Mus musculus: one gene and its partners. Each later gene encodes a partner of the first gene's protein in a complex. Links are inferred from orthologs where the notes say so. Each region holds a gene or a part of one and is shown in the gene's direction. Other genes may lie near its edges.

What was found.
Region 2: Med1 (region 1) and Med13 share a complex: the UniProt entries of both Homo sapiens proteins name them as parts of the mediator complex. The link is inferred for Mus musculus from reciprocal best matches to the Homo sapiens genes MED1 and MED13.
Region 3: the proteins of Med1 (region 1) and Med24 are in contact, whole or in part, in a cryo-EM structure (PDB 8T9D), measured with the Homo sapiens proteins. The link is inferred for Mus musculus from reciprocal best matches to the Homo sapiens genes MED1 and MED24. Residues at the interface, in NP_004765.2 of Homo sapiens: Phe375, Asn377, Gly436, Leu437, Gln439, Glu441, Ser453, Asn459, Asp460, Ser461, Leu462, Val463, Cys464, Tyr480, Lys481, Gly482, Asp485; in NP_055630.2 of Homo sapiens: Lys7, Ile10, Trp14, Lys15, Arg17, Leu47, Ala50, Met51, Ile52, Gly53, Pro54.
Region 4: Med1 (region 1) and Med21 share a complex: the UniProt entries of both Homo sapiens proteins name them as parts of the mediator complex. The link is inferred for Mus musculus from reciprocal best matches to the Homo sapiens genes MED1 and MED21.
Region 5: Med1 (region 1) and Med19 share a complex: the UniProt entries of both Homo sapiens proteins name them as parts of the mediator complex. The link is inferred for Mus musculus from reciprocal best matches to the Homo sapiens genes MED1 and MED19.
Region 6: Med1 (region 1) and Med26 share a complex: the UniProt entries of both Homo sapiens proteins name them as parts of the mediator complex. The link is inferred for Mus musculus from reciprocal best matches to the Homo sapiens genes MED1 and MED26.
Region 7: Med1 (region 1) and Med25 share a complex: the UniProt entries of both Homo sapiens proteins name them as parts of the mediator complex. The link is inferred for Mus musculus from reciprocal best matches to the Homo sapiens genes MED1 and MED25.

The regions. Positions count from the first base shown.
Region 1 is NC_000077.6:98,190,494-98,194,475, reverse strand, and holds the start of Med1 (mediator of RNA polymerase II transcription subunit 1), read left to right. Parts: upstream 1-1,182; 5' UTR 1,183-1,392; coding exon 1,393-1,417; intron 1,418-1,569; exon of another isoform or gene 1,570-1,669; intron 1,670-3,982. UniProt on the Homo sapiens protein: Component of the Mediator complex, a coactivator involved in the regulated transcription of nearly all RNA polymerase II-dependent genes.
Region 2 is NC_000077.6:86,284,597-86,288,096, reverse strand, and holds part of Med13 (mediator of RNA polymerase II transcription subunit 13), read left to right. Parts: coding exon 1-6; intron 7-1,189; exon of another isoform or gene 1,190-1,206; coding exon 1,207-1,663; intron 1,664-2,764; coding exon 2,765-2,984; exon of another isoform or gene 2,985-3,027; intron 3,028-3,500. UniProt on the Homo sapiens protein: Component of the Mediator complex, a coactivator involved in the regulated transcription of nearly all RNA polymerase II-dependent genes.
Region 3 is NC_000077.6:98,715,920-98,719,419, reverse strand, and holds part of Med24 (mediator of RNA polymerase II transcription subunit 24), read left to right. Parts: intron 1-136; exon of another isoform or gene 137-149; intron 150-563; coding exon 564-602; intron 603-849; coding exon 850-923; intron 924-1,277; coding exon 1,278-1,510; intron 1,511-1,654; coding exon of another isoform or gene 1,655-1,711; intron 1,712-2,894; coding exon 2,895-3,006; intron 3,007-3,138; coding exon 3,139-3,289; intron 3,290-3,500. UniProt on the Homo sapiens protein: Component of the Mediator complex, a coactivator involved in the regulated transcription of nearly all RNA polymerase II-dependent genes.
Region 4 is NC_000072.6:146,641,410-146,645,378, forward strand, and holds the start of Med21 (mediator of RNA polymerase II transcription subunit 21), read left to right. Parts: upstream 1-1,169; 5' UTR 1,170-1,201; coding exon 1,202-1,243; intron 1,244-3,969. UniProt on the Homo sapiens protein: Component of the Mediator complex, a coactivator involved in the regulated transcription of nearly all RNA polymerase II-dependent genes.
Region 5 is NC_000068.7:84,684,902-84,688,401, forward strand, and holds the end of Med19 (mediator of RNA polymerase II transcription subunit 19), read left to right. Parts: intron 1-289; coding exon 290-546; intron 547-701; coding exon 702-798; intron 799-1,289; coding exon 1,290-1,384; intron 1,385-1,964; coding exon 1,965-2,033; 3' UTR 2,034-3,314; downstream 3,315-3,500. UniProt on the Homo sapiens protein: Component of the Mediator complex, a coactivator involved in the regulated transcription of nearly all RNA polymerase II-dependent genes.
Region 6 is NC_000074.6:72,545,511-72,549,472, reverse strand, and holds the start of Med26 (mediator of RNA polymerase II transcription subunit 26), read left to right. Parts: upstream 1-1,162; 5' UTR 1,163-1,506; coding exon 1,507-1,578; intron 1,579-3,258; exon of another isoform or gene 3,259-3,397; intron 3,398-3,962. UniProt on the Homo sapiens protein: Component of the Mediator complex, a coactivator involved in the regulated transcription of nearly all RNA polymerase II-dependent genes.
Region 7 is NC_000073.6:44,876,265-44,879,344, reverse strand, and holds the end of Med25 (mediator of RNA polymerase II transcription subunit 25), read left to right. Parts: exon of another isoform or gene 1-1,054; coding exon 1,055-1,320; 3' UTR 1,321-2,580; downstream 2,581-3,080. UniProt on the Homo sapiens protein: Component of the Mediator complex, a coactivator involved in the regulated transcription of nearly all RNA polymerase II-dependent genes.

The DNA.
Region 1 (3,982 bases):
TGGGTTTTTTTTTTTTTTTTGGTTTTTCGAGACAGGGTTTCTCTGTGTAGCCCTGGCTGTCCTGGAACTCACTCTGTAAACCAGGCTGGCCTCCAACTCAGAAATCTGCCTGCCTCTGCCTCCCTAGTTCCTTTCTTTTTCTTTTATTTATTATATATATATGTATGTATGCGTGTATATGTGTATATGTATGTGTGTGTGTGTGTGTATATATATATACTGTACCTGTCTTCAGACACTCCAGAAGAGTGAGTCAGATCTCATTACAGATGGTTGTGAGCCACCATGTGGTTGCTGGGAATTGAACTCAGGACCTCCTGAAGAGCAGTCGGTGCTCTTAAATTAACTGAGCCATCTCTCCAGCCCCTTCTTTCTTTTTTTTAAACAACATAACTGCTTCTGGTTCTTCAGGAAATTTCACCTTCCCACTTTCTCTAGGAATTAAACCCAGGACTTCAGACATGCTAATCAGGTATGTTGCTGGTGAGTTACAAGTCTTGTCATCTTACAAATCTTACTTTTTTGTTGTTTTGTTTTGTTTTTGTCCAGGCAAGGTTTCTCTGTAGCCTTGGCTGTCCAGAAACTTTGTAGACCAGGCTGCCCTCATACTCAGAGATCTACCTGCCTCTCCCTTCAGAGCGCTGGGATTAAAGGTGTGCGCCACCACCAGGCAAACTCTAAACACCCAAACACTAAAACTCACTGGAAATCTTTCAGTAGAGATTATTTTGTAAGGACCGGTTTTCACTATCCCCTTCCTCATTGGGATTATAGGAGTGTGCCACTTTTCCAGGTGCTCAAAGAGCAAACATTTTGTTTCGTTTGAGACAGGGTTTCTCTGTGTAGCCATGGCTGTCCTGGAACTCACACTGTAGACCAGGCTGGCCTCGAACTCAGAGTTCCGCCTGTCTGCTGGGATCAAAGGCTTGAGCCGCCACCACCGCGGGACGGAAGAGCTAACGCTTTTAATTTACAAATTGTGTAACTGTCGGGATGCAAACATAAACTTTCAGAGAGATGTCAACTCTGGGCACACACCCTTAGACGCCAAGGTGTGAATTCTGAGCCAATCGGAGCCGGGCCTGCTAGAGATCCTGCGGGGAGGACGAAATCAGCCAACCTCCGCGAGACTTTGGTGCGGTTCCTTCTTCCTCCGTCTCACAGGAACACGATTAATCTCGCGATCTTTGGGAAGTTCCGTTGGGGAAGATGGCGGCGGCCGCGAGCACCCTTCTCTTCTTGCCGCCGGGGACTTCAGACTGAGCCTTCCCCGGAAGAGTCGGGGCCGCTGGTGCGCCGCTTCCCCGGAGCCCAGGCTAACTTGGTTCCCCTCTGAGTGGCGGGGAAAGGCTCCCCGGCTCGTGGCGGACCCAAGACCTCCCCGCTGTCAGGATGAAGGCTCAGGGGGAAACCGAGGGTGAGTGACTGGGGGGTGGCGGGGAAGGAGGGGCGGTACACCGCTGCGGCGAGCCAATCCGAGAGAGGAGGTGGGGACCCACGCCCCTCCAGGGCCACCGTGCGTGGGACCGGATCCTGGTGGAATGTGCATCTTAGATCCCGACCGAGCCCTACAGATGCTGGAGCGCCTCCTCCGGGGCGCTGCTCCCCCGTCTCCTCCACTCGTGAAAGGTTTTCTGCGGGACGAGGGACGAGGAAGTTGAGCCTCAGGGTACTTTGAGCTTAGCCCGGTGGGACCCAAGGAGAGGGAAACTGAAACTTGTTGATGCTTTGTTCCAGGAGAGATCGCTGAAGATGACACTAGAACAATGTAATGTCAAAGTAATGGAGGGTGTTTTAGCCGGAGTGACTTGCTTGGTTCGATCTTCATCATAGTAAAAGCGGGCCGTTTATTACTTGGAAGGTCATAGTGTTCAAATACTGTGCTGTGTCTTTACGAACTGCTTTCAGTTGTGCACGACCGGTGGCTTTAAAGCTTGGGGGAGAGGTGTTCAGAACTATAAACTGGCAGGAACAATCCCCAAACCAGTTTCCCAGTTGAGGGAAGAAAAGGGAAGGGATAGAATCTTCTTTGTTTCTTGAGACAAGGTCCCCCTGCCTCAGCCTCCCAAGTGCGGGCTTACACACCTCTCGGCCAGCTAAGAGTTTGATTCTTGGTTCAGATACTCCCTCCCACGACCTGGACTGGCTTATCCAAAAATGAAGTCTCGACATTTGTAGCAAAGTGGACGATACTCAAAATAAGCCATATTAAGATAAATAGCACATTTTCTCTTATGAGGAATCTCGACGTAGGTATGTGTTGGTGTGTGTTGGTTGTGAAAACATGGGACCATGTGGGAACAAAGGAGGTCTGCAGGATAGAAAGGTTAGTGGAATATGAAATGAAGTGAGAGGTTTGGCTGTTTGGAGGTTGGGGCAGTGTGGCTCTCAGAGGGAGAGGACTTGGACCAAGTATAATGGCCTATATGTATAAGAATGCCAAAATGATATGCATTGCTTTGTATGTTAATTTAAAGATAATTTAGAGGCTGGGAATGTAGAGCAGTGGTTAGAGTAATGTCTTCTTGTCCATGGGTTCAATTCCCAGCACCAAAAGAAAAGGAAAAAGGGAGCCAGGTGTGGTGGCCCACAGCTTTAATCCCAGCACCTGGGAGGCAGAGGCAGGCGGTTTCTGAGTTCGAGGCCAGCCTGGTCTACAGCGTGAGTTCCAGGACAGCCAGGGCTACGCAGAGAAACCCTGTCTCCAAAAACCAAAACAAAACAAAACAAAAAAAACCCCTAATTATTTTTTTTTTAAAGATTTTATTTATTATATATGTAAGTACACTGTAGTTGTCTTCAGACACTCCAGAAGAGGGTGTCAGATCTCATTATGGATGGTTGTGAGCCACCATGTGGTTGCTGGGAATTGAACTCAGGACCTTCAGAAGAGCAGTTAGTGCTCTTAACCTCTGAGCCATCTCTCCAGCCCTAAAACCCCTAATTATAATAACGTCTTCCTTAAATTGTGCTCCAAGTATATCCTTCAAGGTGTTGTGAGCCCAAGGGTCCAGTGAGAAACCCTGTCTTAAAAACTAACACGCAAAGAGCCAACTGGTGATGGTTCCTGCCTTAGTCCTAGCACTTAGTAGAAAGAGGCAGGTGGATCCCTGAGTTTGAAGCCAGCCAGACCTACAAAGAGACAAGACAGCCAGGGAAGCTCTGTCTCAGCCGTACCTCATAGCGGCACACACCCATAGGAGGCTGATGAAAGGAGACAAGAGGATGCCTTAGAGCATAGTCTGGGCAAGCCTGGGAGGTGACCCATGTTTATAATCCTAGCACTTCATAGGTAGAGGTAGGAGTATGAGGAGGTCACCACTTACATTTCTTTACTAGGAGGTAGGGCATCTACCATATCCACTGTGGGCTCTGGGGCGTGAACCCAGACTCTCATGTTTGGCATTGCGGGTGCCTCTACTCTTGTAGCCATCTTGTCAGCCCTCAAGGTCATGGTCAGCTGGGCTGTGAGAGACTGTCTCAAAATGGAAGAAAAAAAGCAGGGAGGTGGCTGGAGATCGAGCTGAGGGTTTAAGAGCCCTGTGCTTTTGGCATAGGTTCAGGTTTGGTTCCCAGGAAACACATGTCCACGTAGCAACTCACAAGCATTTGTAACTTTAGTTTCAGGAGTCTCGGTGTCTTCTGGCCTCCATGAGCACTGCACAGACATGCCACACATCCATGAGTCAAAAAATCAAAACAATAACAGCAACCCTTCCCCCAAAAAAACCCAAAAAAATGCATACCCAACATATTTTTTTTTGAAATAAAGAATATGTATTTCATGTGTATGGTGGTTTTATCTCCCTGTATTTCTGTGTACCAAGTACATGCCTGGTGTCCTTAGAACCCAGAAGAGGAGAGCAGATCTCCTGGGACTGGAGTTGCATGTGACTGTGAGCTGCCATGTGGGTGCTGGGACTTGAACCCAGAACTTCTGAAAGAGCAGCTAGTGCTCTTTAAAGGATGCATTGGGCATTGT
Region 2 (3,500 bases), about 12 Mb from region 1:
ATTTAGGTATTAAATTTGTATTCATCCTACAAGAGCAATGTGAGCAGTATGGGTTGGTTCACCATCTAAGTTTGTAAATAAAATCTTTGTGTCATGTGGCCATCTCCATGTTTTCAAACACTGTCTCTGCCTGCTTTTGTCCTGCAAAGTCAGAACTGAATAGATGTGGCAAAGACTGTGGTTTCAGACTTAAGTATGCACTGTCTGACTGTCCATAGAAAGTCTGCTAGCTCTGTATATGGGAATGCTATCAAGTAGTCATTATTGGTTCCAAAATATTCTCTGCTGCTTCTGTGGAGTCTGATGTTTCCTGCCATTGATCCCAGCATTCCGGAGGCAGAGTCAGGATCTCTGTGAGTTTGAGGCCAGTGTGGCCTCAAGACAACAGGGCTACACACATAGTAAGACCCTGTCTTTAAAAACATTTTTTTTTGATTTGTTAATAACTTACATACAAATATTTTCTAAGTAACCTTCTGCAACACCAAAAAAAGTCTTATTGTAGCTAATCCTATGGCTGTTATTTAAATCTTTTTGTTATACTCTTAAATATCAGTGAACTTCTTTTACACTTAATCCAAAGAGATGCAATACCAAATTACTGAACCTAATTAGACATTTCTGAAAATTGAACCTCATGATAATATCCCTCCATTTTGTATTTTAGTTAGCTATCAATCTAGACAGTATTTCTTCAACTTGTGATTTAACAATAGTTGTAGTGGTTTGATGAAAAATTGCTACATACTTATACACATTTGTTGATGTATTCTAATTTTTTCTTACACTTATTACTTGTGTCGGGATATATGCCACTGTGAACCAGTGGAAATCAGGACTACTTGGCAAGGTTGGTTTTCTCTTTCCGCCTTGTGGTTTCTGGGGGTCAACTTAATCACCGAGCTATCTTGTTAGCTTTTGTTTACATTTAATTTTGCCTAAGAAATAGAATTTTCTTACATTTCATACTGACTATTTAAAATTTGAATGAAAATATGGGTTTATTTTTATAATTAATTTAAAACATTTTTTCTTTTTTTTAAAGTTTCTGGGAGGGAGTAGGAAGTTAGTTCGTGCTGCACTGTTAGTATAAAGCAGTTAAGGGAAGATAATCGCCATAAAAGTGTCAGCTACATTGTTATTTCTATAGAAGAATAAAAATAAGTCAGTGAAATCAAGAATTAAATACCCGTTTTTGTTCTTTAGGTCCATATCTTGCTTCTCAGCCGTTGGACAGCTCTCTGCTCTCCCAGCCAAATTTAGTTGCCCCTCCAAATCAGTCTTTGGTTACTGCACCTCAGATGACAAATACTGGAAACGCTAATGCTCCATCTGCCACCTTAGCATCTGCGGCAAGTAGCACTATGACAATGACTTCAGGTGTTCCCATATCTACTTCAGTTGCCACAGCTAATTCAACTTTGACCACAACTTCATCTTCATCATCTTCCAGTCTGAGTAGTGGAGTATCATCAAATAAACTGCCTTCGTTTCCACCCTTTGGCAGTATGAACACTAGTGGTACAGGATCCATGTCTGCACAAGCAAGTACGGTTCAGAGTGGCCAGCTAGGAGGACAGCAGTCGTCATCTCTGCAGGCAGCAGGAATATCAGGGGAGTCAGCTTCTCTTCCCACTCAGCCACATCCTGATGTGTCTGAAAGGTACCGTTAAATATTAGGATACTTGGGGTTGAAAGATAGTTAAGTAGTATGTAGCATATGTGTTTAGCATGCTTGAAGCCTTATGTACAATGAATGAATAAGTATAAAAAAATTAAGTTTGTGGAAATACAGAATCTATCGACTCTTTATCTAAGTAAACAGTGACCTTACTGTGGAATTTAGTTTAATCATGGTAATTATTTTACGTATGAAGTTATAATAAAGATTGTTTTTAAATTTTTCATCATAGAATCACAGGGTTGGTGTTTAGATCTTAAAAATTATTCAACTCCAGATAGTCCTATGATTGAGTCTGGCTGTGTCATAAGCAGATGTAATTGTTTATGCATATTACACAACTGGTTGCAAAATCTCTGTGTGCCTGCCTCTGTGTGCGTGTGTGGGGTGTGCGTGTGTATATCTGCGTGCATGTGCTAGAGTCTCACTGGAGCTGGCACGTGCGAGGCATGCAGCCTTTCACTGTGCTACGTACGCTTCAGCTCTGCTTGGGAGGCTTTAGACTCTGAATCCCAGCTCTGTCCTTGACTCACTTTGTGATAAGGAGAAGGTCTAACATTGTTAGCATTGCATCCATATCTGTAGTATGGAAGCAGTTCTACACGCTGCACAGCAATTGTGCTAATGGTAATGGATCTCATTGTTTTTATATAAAAGTCCTGGGGAAATTCCCTTATCAGACAGTCTGATGCTCATTGTTTCTCTGCTTCCTAGAATGCAGTTGTTTACAAATTCACGCTCATAAATATGAGGTAAAAGTAGACTATTATCTGAACAGAAAAACCTGGCTTCTGTCTGGACTAGCTCTGTTTCTAGGCAGGCTGCTGAGCATGACCAGTTACTGAGATGCCTGTCAGAGAGACCTTTAGTCTCTTACTGTTAAGCTGCTTGAGAATTCTTTCTTTTAAATGCACAAAGCCTCTTATTTGAAGGGATTTCATATGGTGTGAAGTGTAAGTATCCTGATTATCAGAGAGGTTTTCTGATGCCTTGCCCCAATAAAAGAGGGATGTAAGGATTCACTTTGGTGCTGTACCAGGCAGACATAATACAACATTGTTCTCTTTCTACTTCAATTTTTAGCACAATGGATCGTGATAAAGTGGGGATTCCCACAGATGGTGATTCACATGCAATTACCTACCCTCCTGCAATTGTTGTTTATATAATCGATCCTTTTACATATGAAAATAAAGACGAGAGCACTAACTCTTCTAATGTATGGACTTTGGGGCTCCTTCGATGCTTCTTGGAAATGGTCCAAACTCTTCCTCCTCATATCAAGAGCACTGTTTCTGTGCAGGTAAGGATTTCTTCATGTTTCAGAGTTTCACAGTTGTTTTTCTCTGTTCAAAATAATTTTGTTAAAAGACAGGTTATATTGATTTCACTTAAATATTATAATAGGAGTTTTAAGAGAGTTTATAAAAGATAAACTTTATAGTTCTGGGGGCTAATTAGATGGCTTAGCAGTGAAGTGCTTGCTGCTCTTCCAGAGGATCCAGGATTAGTTCTTTCCACTCATATCTGGTGGCTCATAGCTGTCTGTAATATCAGCAACTTTCTGTGGGTACTGTTATATACATGGAATACCCACATAGAGACAGACACATGAAATCTTTAAAAACCTTGATTGTCATTCTACAATCATGAGAAATACAATTATATTGGCTGTAGGTGGTGTGTTTCTAACTAATTCCATGAAGCTGAGGCAGTAGGATCAGAAGTTGCAGGCTAGCATCAGTACATAGTTCCAGACTAGCCTGGGCTATGTAATAAGATGTTTGTTAACCTCCTAACACCACCTCCTCCTCCAACC
Region 3 (3,500 bases), about 530 kb from region 1:
ACCACCGCCCGGCACAGTTAATCTTGATAAAAGGAGCAATGGGCCTGATTAGTGTAGAGGCTCAAATAGTTCACATGCACACACCCGCCTCTGTGCTTCAGGTTGAAATTAGGACACATGCTAGGCCGGCACTGACCACCGAAGTGCATCTTCAGTCCAGCAGAGTCACGTCTCCACCCTTGCCTAGCAGGCGTGGGGCTGAGCTTCATCCCCAGGACTCCCTGACCCCATACAAGACAAGACCGTCATTCTGGGTGATTCTTTTGCCCACTAGTGGCCAGTTGAACTTCATTTAGTTTTGGAAAGGAACAGCATAAAGACAAGGCAGGATGCCTTTGGGTACTCGAAACCCTCTCATTCGGCTTATACGCATGCCACTTGCACTGAGTCTGATGGAAGCAGCGATAAGGACAGCACATGTTACTGTGGGCCTTTTAATGAGCTGAGGAAACCTCTTGAAGGGAAGGGGTTGGGGACCTCACGCTGTGGCAGTTTAAGCATCAGTGCTTGCCCCTCCCAAGTAGATGACTTGTCTCAACGTCCTGTGTCTTCCTTCTTTCTAGATGGTGTCCTGCTCCTCTGTGCTCACCGCCATCAGTAAGGTATGACTGTGGCTCTCAGGAGCTGTGGGAGGGGGCAAATAAGGCTACCAGCCTGGCCACTCAGGTCATGTGTCCCCTGAGGCTGGATAGGCAACACCTGATGCCCCCCGCCCAGGAAGGAGGTCCTGGAAATTAGGAACACATTTCCATGTGGCAAGTCTGTGGCCCAGGGCTTGGGGAGGAGAGGTAGCAGAGCTTGTGAGAGGTAGTGCTGAGCCCCCTCCATTGCTCGCTGTTCTTTCTGCAGTTTGATGACTTTTCCCGGGACCTGTGTGTCCAGGCTCTGCTGGATATCATGGACATGTTCTGTGACCGACTCAGGTGAGAGATGGATGTGGAAGCTCAGAGCATTGCATCATCCTTTCAGTGCCGAGGAAAGCCCAGAGTCTAGGGGACGGACTGAGACCAGCTCTGGGTCCCAGGCTGCTTCTGTCTGCCTGCCTTCCCACCTCCAGCTTCTGTTTCCTTAAGACAAAGTGCCTCTTCTCTATTTGGAAGAGCTACTCTAAGATCTCGTCTAGTGGAAGCTGGCTAGACTAGGTGTCTTACCTAGGATTCTGCCAACTTTCCAACTCTGTCCCCTAGTAGTGTTGTGCCAGAGACTCTGGGGGAACATTGGTGTGGGTTGGATTTCAGCTTTTGGAATAGATACAAATTTTCATCCTTTTTGGGTAGTTGCCACGGCAAAGCAGAGGAATGCATCGGGTTGTGCCGAGCGCTCCTTAGCGCCCTCCACTGGCTGCTTCGATGTACAGCAGCTTCTGCGGAGCGACTCCAGGAAGGGCTGGAGGCTGGCACTCCGGCCCCCGGGGAGAAGCAGCTTGCCTTGTGCTTGCAGTGCCTGGAGAAGACCCTCAGCAGCACCAAGAACCGAGCCCTGCTACACATCGCCAAACTAGAGGAGGCCTGTATGTCCCCTGACTCCCCCACACCCTGCCTGCTGCTGCTTCTGTAGCTGGTCCTTTGATTGAGAGGGGAGAGGCAGGATGCCATCCCACTTCTTTCTAGAAGGATCCGAAATCATCCCACTTCCTTTTTTCTCTCCCCATAAGCATTGCATACATCCCAGGGACTTGGGCAGGGTGGCACCCGAGCCAATCAACCAACAGGTATTTACTGAGCCTTCTCGTGTGTCCAGCACTGTGCCAGGTGCTGGAGGGGGGGATGGGGGCTTCCAAAGGAGCATGTGGCAGGGTCCCTGCCCTCAGCAAGCTTACACACTGGTGGGGAGTAAGATTGGAATGCCATGCGCCTGGAGAAATTGGAGGACAAGACAGGCACGTCGTCTGCTCTTGTCTGTCTTCATGTTGCTCGCCTAGAAGCAGATGACTCAGGTGTGACCCGGAACTTCAGTTAAACTCAGTGCCTGTCAGCCATGACTGGATGCTGTTCTCTCTTAACTCAAGTTCTGTTAAGCATTGGCACCTTACAGATTTATAGGAGGGAAGTCTTCATGAGTCCTGAGCCCCAGCAGCTAGGGCCACCTAAGGGTTCTCCATTGACAGGAATGCTAAAATAGGTGACACCCATGTCTTCAGGGCTCAGTGGGAGAGGTTGTTAGGGGATTAGTCTCTCTGGGAAAAGTCCAGAAAGAGACCGATCACTGTGTCAGAATGGGCTGCTCGGACAGCTTTTCTTCATCTGCTTTCTTGTTAGTGTTGGCAGTGCCTTGCCTTCCTGGGCACTTGATAAATGTTTATTGGTAGAAAAGTAGATGAATACTTCATTTTGATGGATCTCAGGTCTCAGTTGTCTTTCTCTTGTCCCTGTGCTACATGGAGGTTAATTGGCTAACTGGTGCCGTCATTCATCATTTGACCCTTTGGGCTTGTAACTAGGATAAGTGACTAGTAATTAAATACTAAGTATGTGCTGTAGACCGTGAGTGCGGCCATTTAAGAGAGTGTCCAGTGGGCTCCACCAGCTGGGTAAGCTATTCAAAGAGCAGAAACTCAAAAGCTGTGTTGGCAAGGTATTTGGAGCTAGAGTAGAAGTGACTGTCCCCGCTTGGCCACTGGATGCTGTACCCACCCCTGTGCCTTGCTCCCATTGCTTGTGTGTCTCGAGTCAGTTGTGTGTAGTCACTGGAAGTCAGGCCCTTGGTATGGTTGCTAGGGGGGTCTTTGTTCCCGGTGCCTACTCCCCTTACCCTACCCTCAGGACTCTGCCTCCTCGTCCTCAGAGGTTCCTTGCTGGATGCTTTCACGGTCCAGGGAGCGCCACGGTCGGGGAGTGTGGACCACGCCCTGCCTCTCCTTCCCAGCAGTTTCTGCCTTGCTTTTTCTCCACCAGCCTCCTGGACTGCCATAGAGCATTCTCTTCTAAAACTTGGGGAGATCCTGGCCAATCTCAGCAACCCCCAGCTCCGGAGCCAAGCTGAGCGTTGCGGCACACTCATCAGGAGGTTAGGTTTCTGCCGGAGATGGGAAGATGGGCTCCATGGTCTGTGTGTGTGTGTGTGTGTGTGTGTGTGTGTGTGTGTGTGTCCCGCTGTCTCCTCAGTTCCCAACACGTCCCCAATGGTGTCTCTCTTCAGCATCCCCAGCATGCTGTCCGTGCACTCCGAGCAACTGCACAAGACCGGCTTCCCCACCATCCACGCACTCATCTTGCTTGAGGGCACCATGAACCTGACCGGGGAGATGCAGCCCCTGGTGGAGCAGCTGATGATGGTGAAGCGCATGCAGGTAGGCGTGGCCAAGCAGGGTGGGTGGCCACTTGGGCTAAGAGGGAGTAGGCTGGTACTTAAGAGGAATAGCTCTTTTTTTTTTTTCTGAGACAGTGTTTCTCTGTGTAGCCTTGGCTGTCCTAGAACTCACTTTGTAGACCAGGGTGGCCTCAAACTCAGAGATCCACCTGCCTCTGCCTCCCAAGTGCTGGGATTAAAGGCGTGAGCTC
Region 4 (3,969 bases), on another chromosome or scaffold:
TACCTCCCAACCTCCTCATCTGTTATGTCCTCCTCTGTTAGGATTCACCAAGAAGGCTCTCTCACGATGACAGTCCACCTTGATAGTGGACTTCCCAGCCTCCAGAACACTGTAGGGAGTAAACGTTCTTTGTAATTGCTTGTCTGTGCTATTCAGTTGTAGCAACAAAAAACAGGCTCACATACCCACCCACCTCCAACTCCAGAAATGATCATCTTGGAAACTATGATAAACAGTTTGTCTGAGTTCCACAAACCAGGTATTTGCAGATTCAGGACTCACTTCCCATCAGAATATCCCCAGGCTAACAGAAATGACCTTTCTGCTATCACCCTTCACACGGAAAACTGTCAGGAAGCCCCAGTTCTAAATTTACATTCTGAAGCTGATCTTTCTTAAGATCGAACCTGCCTAGACCGGGCGTGGTGGCGCACACCTTTAATCCCAGCACTTGGAAGGCAGAGGCAGGCAGATTTCTGCGTTCGAGGCCAGCCTGGTCTACAGAGTTTGCACCTCCTACCTTCAAATGCTCTTCTTCCTCCTTTTCACTTTACTTATCACCCGTTCCTCATCACAGAGCTGTTTAATGCTTTCCATTTCCCCCAGGCACTCCCACTCAGAATTAAAGCACTAATCTAGTCTCCAGTTGGGTAAGCACCTCCTGCCCCAAACTAATTAGCCACCCTTTTCTAGCCATTTTGATTTCCTGGAGAATGTTAATTTCTCGAATTTAAATGTTGTGAATGGCGGGCTGCGAGTATGCTTTGTGGTATACCTGCAAAGTAAAAGCAAAGGAAAACAAGTGTTCCAGATAAACAAAACAAAGAAACGAACGAACAAAAACAAAACCCCTCACAAACAAAACACATTCCAGGCCAGCCAGGACTACACCGTGAGGCATAGCCTCGTCAGAGCTAACAGACAGAATGGAGGAAGCACCTTCCCTTCACAGGCTCGGTCCAGCGTAAACGCGAACCCGTAGCAGCTCAGCCTGCACGCGTCCCTCCTCCCCCACACCAGCCCTGGATCCCACCCGCCTGACGTCAGCAGGCCCGCAGGCTGGCCCCGCCCCTCCCCGGCAGCATGCTTCCTTAACCACGCCCCTCAAGGAGGAAGGCCTGTGATTGGTCCGGAGGCGTCATAAATTGGCCAATCGCTCGCGCTCTAGCAGCTTTTGCGCACCCTTGCGTGCGTGGTGAACATGGCGGATAGACTCACTCAGCTGCAGGACGCTGTGAACTCGGTGAGGGCTTTCCTCTGCTCGCCAGCCTTGCTTTCCTGACGCGGAGAGAGGAGGAAGGGGCGAGGCAAGGCCCCGGGGAGCGCGCAGATTGAGGTCGCCGCGGGCGGCGCACCCCGTGAGGCCTGGGTCTCACGTAGTCCACAGGGCGGGGTCTGAGGAGACGGGCCTGTCCTGAGGGGAGACCGGGCCGGGCGGCTTGTCCTGAGGGGAGGCGGGACCCGGGGGCCTGTCCTGAGGGGAGGTCGGAGCCGCCAGTCTCTCCTAAGGGAGGTGGGACCCGGGGGTCTCTCCTGAGAGGATGTGGGACCTGCCAGTCTCTCCTGAGAGCCATGGGACCCGGGGCCTCTGGTGAGGTGCGAACTTGAGGAAGGGAACGAGTGGCCGCTAATAAGGAGGGGACCCGACGACGGCCTCTCCTGAGGAGACTCAAGGTCTGCGGCCAGGTAGCCAGGAAGCGAGTACTCAAGTTCCAGGGATGCTTCTAGAACTTCCTTTGTGGGGCAGCACACGCCTAAGCACTTTTGTGTGTATCCCTCCCTCGCGTTTCAATTTCAACCTGCCAAACGGATTTCTCCTGTGATTCCACCTCTGAGGCTGAGACAGGAGGATTGCAGCGAGCTCCGGGCCAGCCTGAGCTCCAGTTTGATAGCCCATCTCAGAAAACAAAACACAAAAGACCACAACAAAGTGTTGAGTGTTTGTAGGTTGGTGTATGAGTGACCAGGGCGTGAGCTTGCCTTGCTTTCTGTAGGCCTTCACTCCTCCCTCCGCTCTTGGCGACTCCAGCACCAATGGTTGGAGAGTAACGTCTAGAAGAGGCCAGATCCTGGCCTCTCCGTTTCTTTGCATTTGTTTAAGTCTGCTTTACGATCTTCCCTAAGAGGCTCTTATAGGTGGAGTGAAGCTCTTACAGCACAGTACCACAGAACAGTGAATGTACACAAGAGGGATTTTTGTTTTGTTTTGAGATGGTCTCACTGTGTAGCTCTGGCTGACCTGCACACTGTGGAGACCAGATTGGCGTTAAAAACAAAAAAAAAAAACAGCCCAGTAATCAAAATCTACAACAAAAGCTCCTGAAAACTGCTAGCTTCTCTAACTTTGTCGCCTCTGGCTGTTATTCTGGCTTAATTGTACATGAATGGAAAACTAAATACTGAGCCTGGAATGGTGACCCACATCTTTAATTCCTGTAATCCCAGCACTTGGGAGGCAGAGGCAGGCGGATTTCTGAATTCAAGGCCACCTGGTCTACAGAGTGAGTTCCAGGAGAGCCAGGGCTACACAGAGAAACCCTGTCTCGAAAAAAAAAAACCAAACCAAAACAACAACAACAAAAATAGTGCAACAGTTTTCCATTGGTAATTAAAATCTCTTAGTGTCATTCTGGTTGTAGTTTGATGTAGAAGAGCCTACACAGTATATGCCTGCTGAAAAAAAAAATCTAAATACCTAGTTCTCTGGACAGTGTTTTTTAAACAGGAATGTTATAACAAGGCTTCTTGGTAATTCATCATTTTTGAGAGTACATTGAAATTGTGTATCTACTAGTGGGAAGACTAGTCTATTCTGTGTAAATAAAGTAGTTTTAAAGTTGAGGGGCTATCTCTTAAATGTTGATGAAGTCACCAAGGTACATTCTGTTTTGCAAAGATTCCCTGGGCTGCCAGCCAACCTCTCCCAAGAAAATACTTTTGTAATTTTACAAGTCTTTCTTGTTTTAATTTAAATTTTTTTGGTTTTACAAATCTTAATAATGCTGTGTAGAAGCTCATCTCCTAAGTATGCATATTCATGTAGGTCCTATAGTTAGGATGTTAAGGATACGATATAGTCTTAGGAGTACTGATAATTGAGTTAATATGTATGCCTACTGTGTCTACAGGGAATGTGTTTACAAAGAACTATTCTAGGAGCTTAGAAAGATGTCATAAACTCAAGAGACTTTTAGATGATGCAAACAAACCCCATATGTGGCTAGGGAGTTACAGTGGATTGTTTTCAGCTCTTAAGAGCTAAAGTAGATTGGAACACAGAGCAATATTAACATTTGTTCTGCCATCTGGAAACTCCATGTTCATTTCTATAATATATACAGTACTTGTCATGGAGTTGGTTTTTCAATAAATATTTTTGAACAGATTAATAATGGGTCTTGAATGAATTTACAAGACAGAACACTAGCTGCTGTATTGAGTAAGCTTCATTTATATTTTTCTTTCTTATGACAGTGCTGCTAAATAGAACACTGCAACTTAGAAAGCCAACCAGGTTAGCTTTTCAATGACAATTCAGAATTTTACATTGAAATAATGACAGCAAAACAATAGAAATGTTTATTGATTGGAAATACTAAATGAGGCTTCAGGGGTTAGGACTAGTGAGAACATATGTTTAGTTTGTGAATGGTGTGAACTTATATTCTCAAATTACTTAAATGCAATGCTTTTTAGTTTTGCTTCTTTTGAGGCAGAATCTTATGTAACTCTGGCTGGCCTAGAACTGTCCACATACTCCAGGATGGCCTCAAACTGACAGATCTGAGTGCCTCTGTCTCTGCCTCTCTTATGCTGAGATCCATCATGCCCCAAAAACAAACAAATTTAAGCAACAAGGTTACAACTTGAATCTTGAAGAATACATTTCTGATAATTTACAGTTTAAAAAAATTTTTGTTTTTCATGTAGTACAAACTGGCCTCAAACTCCCTTACATAGTTGAGGATG
Region 5 (3,500 bases), on another chromosome or scaffold:
AAATATAGTCCTTCCTGGGGCTGGAGAGACAGCTCAACAGGATATGCAAAAGAGCCAGGTCAGTTCCTAAGGCAGCTCACAACCTTCCTTAACTCCAGTTCTAGGGATCCAACCCTCTCTTCTGACCTCTGCAGGCATCAGACATACATGGTACACATGCGTAACATGCAGACAAAACAAACATGCATATTAAGTAAATCTAAAGATTGTTTTCTTTTTCAATTTCCTTCTGAGTTACTAACAGAAAGTTATCTGCTTTTGGTATAATCTCATTATTACTGTTTTCTAGGCAGCACAGAGCTGACGGGCAGCACCAATTTAATCACACACTACAACCTGGAGCAGGCCTATAATAAGTTCTGTGGGAAGAAAGTGAAGGAGAAGCTAAGTAACTTCCTGCCTGACCTGCCAGGGATGATTGATCTCCCTGGCTCTCATGACAACAGCAGCCTCCGATCCCTCATTGAGAAGCCTCCTATTCTTGGTGGCTCTTTTAATCCAATCACAGGGACCATGCTGTCTGGTTTCCGCCTCCACACTGGCCCGGTGAGTCTCTTTTTGGGGAGTAAGAAAGCAAATAGCCTGAAAGGCATGAGGTAGCTTTCTTTTCTGTCCAAATCTGTTCTTTCATAATTTACTGAGAACAGATGATGGGAGAGAGGATTTTCTCTACTCACCTGGACCTTCCTTTGTTCCCTCAGTTGCCAGAGCAGTGTCGTCTGATGCATATTCAGCCACCCAAGAAGAAGAATAAGCATAAGCACAAACAGAGCCGCACCCAGGATCCTGTTCCCCCAGGTAAGGAGCACCTCTTATGCTCTTATGATGGAGACACTGGCTCAGGTATGGCCTGGCCTTTCCAGTTATGCTTACTCTGGACCACCATTTTCCCCAAGAAGAAACTCATTTAATGACATTTCTTGGGCAAGTAGTGACTTGACTTAGCACAGGTGCTCTAGCGTCACCTCTATATCTTTTCTGGACATATGAGAAAAGTAGTAGTTAGGATTTCTAGAGTTAGATTTTCCTGTAGCCTTAAGACTTTATAGCAGTAGATCTTTTGTTGTTGTTAAGATTTATTTATTATATGTAAGTACACTGTAGCTGTCTTCTGACACACCAGAAGAAGGCATTGGATTCCATTACAGATGGTTGTGAGCCACCATGTGGTTGCTGGGATTTGAACCCTGGAATAGCAGTCAGTGCTCTTAACCACTGAGCCATCTCTCCAGCCCTATAGCAGTAGATCTTAAGCTCAACAGGTTATAGACTCTTAATGCTTCCTACAGAAACACCATCTGATTCAGATCACAAGAAGAAGAAAAAGAAGAAAGAGGAGGATCCTGAACGAAAAAGGAAGAAGAAAGAAAAGAAGAAGAAGAAGGTAGGGGCTGTTGTGGTTGGGACTCAAGTTTTCCCTGTGTCACCTTTTATTTCATTTCATTTATATTTTTATTTATTTTTGTAGTTATGAATACATGTGCTTCCCTACATGAGTGCAGTATCCTGAGGCCAGAAAAGGGCTTAAGCCCTGGAGCTGAAGTCACAGCTATGATGGTGCTGGGAACTGAACTCAGGTTTTCTACAAGACAGTATATGCCTATAACCACTGAGCCATCTCTCCAGCCCCTTATTGAGATAGTGTTTCACTGGGTTGTTCTAGGCAGGTCTTGGACTTTGTTTGTAGTGCTTCTGCTTCTATTTCCCAGGTAAATGAGATAAGTTTATGCTAGCAGGCTCATTTTGTATTATTTATTTAGATTTTTTGTTGTTTTGTGACAAGGTTTCAAGATATAGTCTTGGCTGGCCTGGAACTCACTTGTGTAGACCAGGCTGGTTTCTATCTCAGAGATCTACTCTCTTCTATCTCCAGAGTGCTAGAATTAAAGGCATGCACCACGACATCCAGTTAGGTCCATCTTTTAGTTTTTGAATGTTCTTACTCTTTTCTTTGTTTTCTCCAGAACCGACATAGTCCAGACCACCCAGGTATGGGCAGCTCTCAAGCCAGCAGCAGCAGCAGCCTCCGCTAATAGGACTACTGGACTTGGCCAAGGATGGCTTTCCTGTGATACTGAACCTGCTGATAAAAACTTGTCTTCCAGGCAGTTGGACCCTGTTGTGGGGGCATCCAACAGCTGGAGAGGGGCCAGCCCCTGCTGTGCATGTGACTAATACACTTTAGGGAAGGACCATGCTTTTTTATGGTTATGTCCAATTGGCATTTTCATGGATTCCTTTTTACAAGAATCTGTTTTTCTTTTTTTTCCCTCTTTTGTGCAATTTGATCCTAGGACTTCAATGTTTTGTTTTAAAGCGTGTTTAACAAACTGACCGGTATGGCTGCCTTTTAAGAGGCAAGTGCCATTCTATTTGAATCAAAGTTTAGGACAAGGCATTAAGATGCAAGAGATTTTGGATCTTGCCATCACATTATTTCCTTAGCAGGCTGGAACTGGAAAATCAAAATGCGAATAGAGAACATGGTCTGAAAACAGTAACTTGCTACTATTTTCCTACCATAGACACAAAATACTCGCTGATTATGCTCAGAGCAGAGTGCATGGATGATCTTCACCTTTCACCTGGAAAGCTGGCCCAAATAAGGTTTATACCTGTGTTTATATACCACAGGGAACTGGTGAGCCACAATCACGGATATATTTTAGCAGGAAAAGCCAATTAGTATTTGTCTCATTATGCTCCCACCTTTTTCTGGAGCCTGACCCCTAAGACTTGTGAACACTAGGCAAGTTTTATCTTTTCCTTTCCCTCTCTTGACTTTTTTTTTCCCCCCTACATACTTTTTAAATGAACCTCTGGCAAGAAGCTTAATGCTGGATTTGGTTGTTTTGAAAAAAGTTTTGGTTTGGTTTTTGTAGGTTGTTTTTTGTTGTTGTTGTTTTTGACACATCACACTATGCAACCTTGGCTGGCTATGAACACTAGGCTGGCCCCAAGCTTGAGAGACCCATCTGCCTCTACCCACCAAGTTCTGGGATCAAAGGCATACACCACCATGCTTAGCTGTTTTTACTTTCAAAAGGAAACAAAGGAATAGCAAGAGATTCAACAGAGAGGATGTATTTGTTATGAAAAGCTAGGTTTTTCTCACCCAGCAGGGCATTTAATTGGATAGCCAGAATAAAAACAGAACCAGAGAATGAGGTTTCTCTTTTGACTCCCTAAGACCATTCACCCTGCCTTAACCAGACAAAACACAAGTCAGGGGGGACTGGTTAGATCAGGATTTATTTTATTCCTTGTTGGTTTAAAATGGCTAATCAGAATAAAAAAATTAAAGGGTCTCTGTATAGAGGCTGGAGTCTTCCCTGTTTAAAGGTTAGAACCCAGCTACCCCCTCTACCCAGCACCATATTGAGATGGGCTAAGGGGTAAACCCCAAGGGACACTCGGAGGGGCCTAGGCCTGCCACTCCTTCTCTCTATCCCATTTTTGGCATGTGATGAAAAATATTGCTTTTTGGATTCTTCTCTCCT
Region 6 (3,962 bases), on another chromosome or scaffold:
TCCAGTGAGCCTCCTGCCTCCCAAGCGTTGGAATTAAATGCCTGGTTCCTCACCTCCCCCAGTACCCCCCCCCCGAAGTATGACAAATTTAAAATTAACAGGTGTTGAGCAGCTCTCAGAAGTACATGTGGTTTTCATTACCTGTTTCCCTTCCGTTTCATGTCTGGATTTTTAAGGTTACAACACTACACGAAGTTATTTCTCCCGAGGCCACTTTCGTATAGTGCACTAAACTCGGAGCCCGCCCTCCATCTGTCCAGTTGTAGGGGTCACCGAAGGACGGAGGACCGCAGCCTTTATACTTGACTTCCTTCGTTTCTTGGTTTGACTTAAAACTCCAGGTGACCTTGGTGCTTCCCTTCCTCCCCCGTGAGGCGTTCCTGTTTTCCATCACCTGAGATGCAAAGGCGGGGTCGCTCCGTCCCCTCGGAACGCCAAGGGGAAGATGCTGGGCGACGGTTCCGCATCCTGCTGTTCAGACACAGGCTGGCCACCTCCAGCCCCCCCCGCCCCCCCCCCGCCTCTAGGAAGGCGACAAAAGCGGTGCTTCCTCTTGAGTTCCAGCCCCGCACGGATGCAGACCCGAGGTGTCAGCGTCGCGCAGGCCTTGCAGACTTGCGTCCTCTGCAGAGGTGGCAGCTCCCAGACGTGACCTTAGGTCCCCGCAGCACGCGGGTCACATGGGGACACGCACTGCCCTGCAGACCCGCGCCTGGGGCCTCTGCAGCGGAGAAGGCTGTGCGGAGCTCCTCCGAGCTCCTCGAGGCACGAGTCTAAACGCAGGGAACCGCTGCCTTCCTCAGATTACCTATGGCCGCTCCAATCCTCTGGTTTCTAAACGCAGGAGGCCCTCATCCGGGGGAGGGTCTTTCCATTCCGCAACCCCAAAGCAGTCAGAAGATAGAGTCGGTGTTCCAGGACTTGAAGGGTGCGCTTCCGTTAGGAAGCCCATCCCTCCAGTCCCGAGTGGGCGTGGCCTTCAGATAGCGTCCGTTGCCACGCCCAACTGCCTCCCAACGGCCCTCTGTGTCGGACCTCGGAACCAGGCGGCAGGACCTGCTAATTGCGCCTGCGCGCGCGTGCGCACAATCAATAGGAGGGGCTCACGAGCCGGACCCTCCCAAACCCGGCGTCTCCACCCGCCCCATCTCCCAACCTCCTCAGCGTGGCGCCGACGCTGCGTGCGGCGCGGGTTACCCAGAGTGCTCAGCGCGGGGGGCAGCTCACTGGAGTTTGGTTCTCGAGGCGGCGGCGGCGGTGGTGGCGGAGGCTCCTCCGTCGGCTCCTCCTCCTCGCTCGGCGGTGGCGGCGGTGGTCCGGGGCCTGAGCTCCGGTCCCCTCCGCTTCCCTCCGTCCTCGCCATCTCCCCGAGCGCCTTGACCTCCTCCGGCGCCGCGGGGAACATGCGGCTCCGTTCCCGGAGGCCGGCGAGTGACTGACCCGCGTTCCCCCTCCTCAGCCTGCCCGCCCGCCGGCCCGGCCGCTCCCCCCCGCTTCGCCCAGGCAATGACAGCGGCTCCGGCGTCTCCGCAGCAGATGAGGGACCGGCTGCTACAGGCCATCGACTCCCAGAGCAACGTAAGTGACTGCCTCGCGATCGGGGACCGAGGCCGCATGTGTCGAGACCCTCCCCCTCCGACGCGCCCCCGGCTAGGGGCTCTCTCCAGGCGGTGATCTGCCCGCCACAGCCACTGCCATCTCGGTCTCTCTTTCTCCTGGGTCCGGGGACCGCAGGCAAGGCGGATTGCCCGGCAGCTGAGGGTACCTGAGGCCGAGGCTTCACGCGGCCTGGACTGAGGGAGCGTTTGGAGCTTTGATCAGAGCTAGTTCTTCTCCGTTGTCCCAGCCCGACCGCCCTTGGTGGTCCCCACCGTGCCTCCTTGCCTCACCTCAACCCTGGGAACTGAGAACCCCCCGGGAAGGTCTCCCTGCCGGGGGCAAGGTGGGAAGCAACTAGTGTCTCCGCGATGACTAGAGTAGCCCGCGTCTCCGGAGTCTTGGCCTTTACTCCCCTTCGGTCTCCTGGCTGAACCTCCTTCTTGGCTAGGAGGGAACCCTAGGCCCGTTCTGCCCCCAGTCTGTCTACCTGTGATGCCTGGAGAGTCTCCTCTTTTTTCTGATAGTGGACAAACCTTTCCTGGGGTCTTTCTAGAAAAGACGACCCTGCAGAGAGTGGGATCCTTCCTGTCATCTTTCTTGGCCTAAATGCTCCATTGCGCATCTGACCAGAAGCTAAAGCATGGGATTTTGGTACTGAGTTACTGCCCGTCATAGTTGATTGTTCTCTTATTCCTACCTTCCGGTCCTCTTTCCATCTCTCTCTTGCCCCTCCTGAGGTGCTTTGGGCCCTAGCCTGTCAAGATTTAATTGTAAGGGGTTACTTTATGTCACACTTTCCTCTGCTAAGAGTCCTGTGAGCAGAGGGACATCTTTTTCTTCCTGTGTGAGCATAGACTAATTTCACCTGTTCTTGTATTTTTCCCAAAGGTTTGTTGGCAGTGTAGGGGGCGGGTATCCTTGTTGCTGTTAGGAGCAGGGCCATGGGAAGATGCACAGGCATTCAGATATGAGGTGTTTGCTGGGAGACCAGGAAGTGGCCTTTGAGATCACTTTTTAATATGCTCGGGATGGAAGAAAAATCATCTTGGGCTTGGACAGGTAACCGAGGTTTGAGTCTTTTGAGTTCCCTTGACTATGCTTGACCAGTTACTCTTAGCAATGTACAATGTACACTGTATTGTGGTGTGTTCAGAATAATTCACATTGTTTGTGTGGTCTTGGTAGAAATAGAGGTGCTCTAGTTTCTATGAGATCTGCTTGCTGGATCCAAAATTATTTTCTTCTTGGTCTTTAAGATCACCTTGATAGTAATTTAGTAAATACTGTAGACATTTTCTCGAGGTAGAATAGGGACAGGCTAGATAAAAATCTTCTAGAAAGCCTTTTTAAATTTTTTTCTTTTTTCTTTTTTTGGTTTAAGGTTTTGTTGGGTTTTTTGTTGTTGTTTTGTTTGCCAGTGATTGGTATTACTGACTGTAATCACATGATTGATATATTAGGATATTAAAAGGTAAAAACAAGAGATAGGAAAACATAGCCTTGATGGCTTTTGCATCTTTGCTGAAGCCATAGTGTACACAGTATAATTTTTTGATGTTGTTTTTCAAGAAGGATTCCTCTTCTATGTAGCTTTGACTATCCTTGAACTTGCTCTTTAGACTAGGTTGGCCTCAGAGATTCTCCTGCCTCTTCTTCCAGATTAAACGATTGCACCACCACTGCTCATCTCTTCCACAGTGGAAATTTTAACTCCTGTGTAACTCCTTTGCTTGAGATCTTATCAGAGATCCTGACTGCTTGTATGTGAGAGTGTTGGGACCAGCAAGCGCTTTGACAGGTAATCATGATGCTATAGATCAGGTGGGTCCAAGTGTTAGGTAAGGTCTGACTAGAAGACCCTTTGTGGGTAAAAGAAGGAAGGTAGACAGCCCAAATTTTAGGTTTTTGTTTTGTTTTTTTCTGAGACAGTCACTGGAAGTCACTATGTATGTAAACCAGTGTAGTCTCACAGAGAATCTGTCTGCTTCTACCTCCCAAATGCTGGAATTAAAGGTATATGCCACCATGCCTGGCCCAAACATTAGTTTCTTGAATTTTCCCTTGGTCATAAGTATTACTATGCTCTTTGGCCTGTGGGTAAGTTGCTTGGAGTGTATATCTCAAAGGGAGACCTTATTGTGGTGGATGGAGTTGAGAACTTGTCTCTGAGTGAGGAGGGAAGTGTTTCCCAAAATGCACTGTCAGTGACCACCCACAAAAACAACTAGGTATATGTGCCAGGGGCTGGCTTTGCAGAATCTCTTTGTAGAATCAGCCTGGAGCACTGTCCTCCATTTCTTGCTGTGGTATTGAAGGGTCCCTGGACATTTGCACTGTTTCCGTGATTGCTCAGGGCCCAGGTA
Region 7 (3,080 bases), on another chromosome or scaffold:
TCTCGCCTTGCAGACTCCCCAAGGCCCCGGCTGGGTGATGCTGGGCCCTGGGATGAGTTGGAGGCAGCATGGTGGGCCTGGTTCTGGGAGACTTGGAGCAGGTGGGCAGGAAGTGTACAGCTCATGTGCACTCAAGGGGTTAGAGCCCAGAATGCCTCTGACCCAGCCAGGGTTCCGAGGAGCCTGGAAGGAGAAGCAGAAATTGGGAGCCAGAAGGACCTAGGTGTAGATAGCCAAAGCCACAGCGCAGGGCCAGCAGGGCCAGCAGGTGGACACTCCTGGAGCGTGAGCGTTCAGGAAGGAGCCAGAGCCGGAGAGTCCAGACTGGGGAGCTGGACATTTGTCCTGGGCATGCAGGACTGCATAGACTGCTAACGGGGCGGGTGTCAGGAAGGTGTGATGGATTGTAGGAGCAGGGCAAGCAAGAGGCAAGGTCATGGGAGTGTCTAGGTGACACATGCCACACCAGGAAGTCAGGATGTCCCCAGCACTGGGTTCAGTTGAGTGTGGGTGAGTTGGGTAGCTCCTGTCTCGCAGAGTACCCCCAGGCTTGTGTGCAGGGCTTCCCCCTGGAGATGGAGTGAGATGTTTGTCACACAGGCACATGTTGTCCTGAGTGTGGTCTGTGCCTGGACCACCACTGCCTGGGTGTGGGACGTCGGTTAATGTGCAGGTGACCCACCCATACCAGGAGAGAGGCTGCAATCTAGTGGCCCATGGGCCACCACAGATGGGTTTTGTTTGGCCTTCCCTGTGTCAGCATGGCACTTTGTCCTCCCGTTAGCTGTAACGCTCCAGTGAGGCTCACACAGTGTGCAGTCTGTTCCTCTCGATGTGTCAGAGACTGACACTGGACCCGCCCTTCTGCCTGGCAGTCGTAGCCCCGTCAGTGGGGCTCATGCTCTTGGGTTCGCCACAGTCCCCACCACTCTCTCTTGCTCTTCCACGGTGAGGCAGGGGCCCTGCCTCAGTCACGGGGCTGGCACCATGGTGGTTGTGTGGTAGCATTCAGAGAAAAGTGAAATCTTTCTTGTACCCATGTCTCCTTCAAAAGTGGCCAAACGAAAGAGAGAAGGAGAGGGCCGCGTGTTTCGAGAAAAGTGGGAGCGAGACTATTTCTTTGTGGAAGTGAAGAGCATGCCTACGTGCTTAATATGCAAAAAAAACGTGTCAGTGCTGAAAGAGTACAACCTGAAGCGCCACTATGAGTCCCAGCACAGTAAGAGCTACGATCAGTACACAGCGCAGAGCCGCGACACACTCCTGCAGGAACTGAAAAGGGCCCTGAGAGCCAGCGAGGCGCTGGAGAGCCAGGAATAGCCATGCAGTGCAGTGGAAAGAACTCCCGTGTTCTGAAGAGCTGTCATCAAGGCTGTCCTGTGAGCCTGACAAGCGTCTGCAGGCTGAAGCACACAAGAGTGAGGCCTTCCGGATCCACACAGAAACTCTGAGCACATGGCTAGCTTTATTTATTGGTGGTGGTGGCGGCAATATCCATGCAACCGAGGCAGTCTGTGAGGTGGCACCAAGCCAGCCCCTGACTTTGAAGTGACTTGCTCCTGTGCATGCAAACACATCAGAATTCATAAGCACAACTACAGTCCCATCATGGTGACCAGGCTGTCCATCATGGGGGCTGTTCCATACCTCGATCCCAAGTGGCACTGTTTGCAAGGACCCAGGTCAGGTCCTAGTCTCAGTAACCAGGAATTGAGATGCTCAAAGAAACACCATGACGCCTTCCTCGACTCTGCCATTCCTGTACTTGAACTGAGCCAATTGCCTGAGACCAGGACATGCAGGAAATCTGAACTGGTATGTTTGGTTCATTTCAAAGTGTGCAGAGCCGTGCCCTGGTTCCCTGGAGGACAGTTAGAAACTTTTGGTTGAAGTTCCCACCCTTGTGAACACTGAATCTGTCTCAGAAGGGATATTCACGAACAGCTCCTGAATGTATATGACTGTGGTGTGGTCCTGGCAGGCGCATGCCTTTGCGAGGAACAGTGGGACTGCCTGCCTTTGGTGCAGCTTGTTTCTGGAAATGAGAGGCGGCCAGGACCAGTCACCCACACTGTGAGACCCAAGACCAAGTCCCCTGAGGGCCATACTCTACTTGAACCTGAGCTAACACTGGCTAGCTCGCCCTTACGATGATGTGAACGCAGACCCCGGTCCGAGTTGGCAGTGCGACAGGGTGCTTGCAATTCTGCAAGATGGCAAGGTTCCTTTGCCTCTGCCCAGCAGTGTCCTGAGTGGCTGCCCACGCTTGTGACAGTCATTGTTTTCCGTTACATACCTAAATCAAAAACTCCATTTTAAGGATTAAGGTTGACATTTCACCTGCCGTCTCTGTCCCAGCCAATGCCAGCACCGACATCTGGGTGAAGAAGGGCAGGTGTCAACCTTCCGCTCAAAAGGCACAAGAAAATTACAAGAGAGAAATTTTAATAACTAAATATTTCTATTTTTCAATTTGTATTTTTTCAATTTTGAATTTAAAGTATGAACTCTAGTATCATCCGTGTTTGTGTTGTATTCCATGCGTTCACCATAGCTCAGTAAAGATCCAATTTGATTATCTTTCTGGCCGTGGGCTTTCCTTCTCCCTGCCTATTCCACCCACTTGTGTGACAGCCTGGCCCCTGCTAGCTGGTTCACATCTGCCCCTGCCCTGGGGCCTGGCTGGGAGGGACTAGGAGTCCTCTTGTCCCACGAGGCCCCTCCCCTGGGTGATTCTCAGAAAGTAAAAGAGGCATAGGGGACCAAGGTGCAGCTGAAGCTATGAAGGTGAGGTGGTGGTGTGGCCATGCAGCCAATGTGTGCCCGTGGCTCTGAGATGTGGGGGTGCTAGGGACTGTGGCGAACCTGGAGAGTGCGTGCCCTGCCTGGTGGCCTTCAAACCCAAACCACTACACACACTGAGGACCAAACAAAATCTGCTGTGAGTCTCATGAGGCCATTAGACCACCATTTTGCGACCTCTGGAAGAAGGAGACTCCAGACCCAGGACACAGCTTCAATGGAGACCCATATGTGAGGGGTGGGTAGGGAGGGGAGAGCTGTTGAAGCAGGCAGGCTTT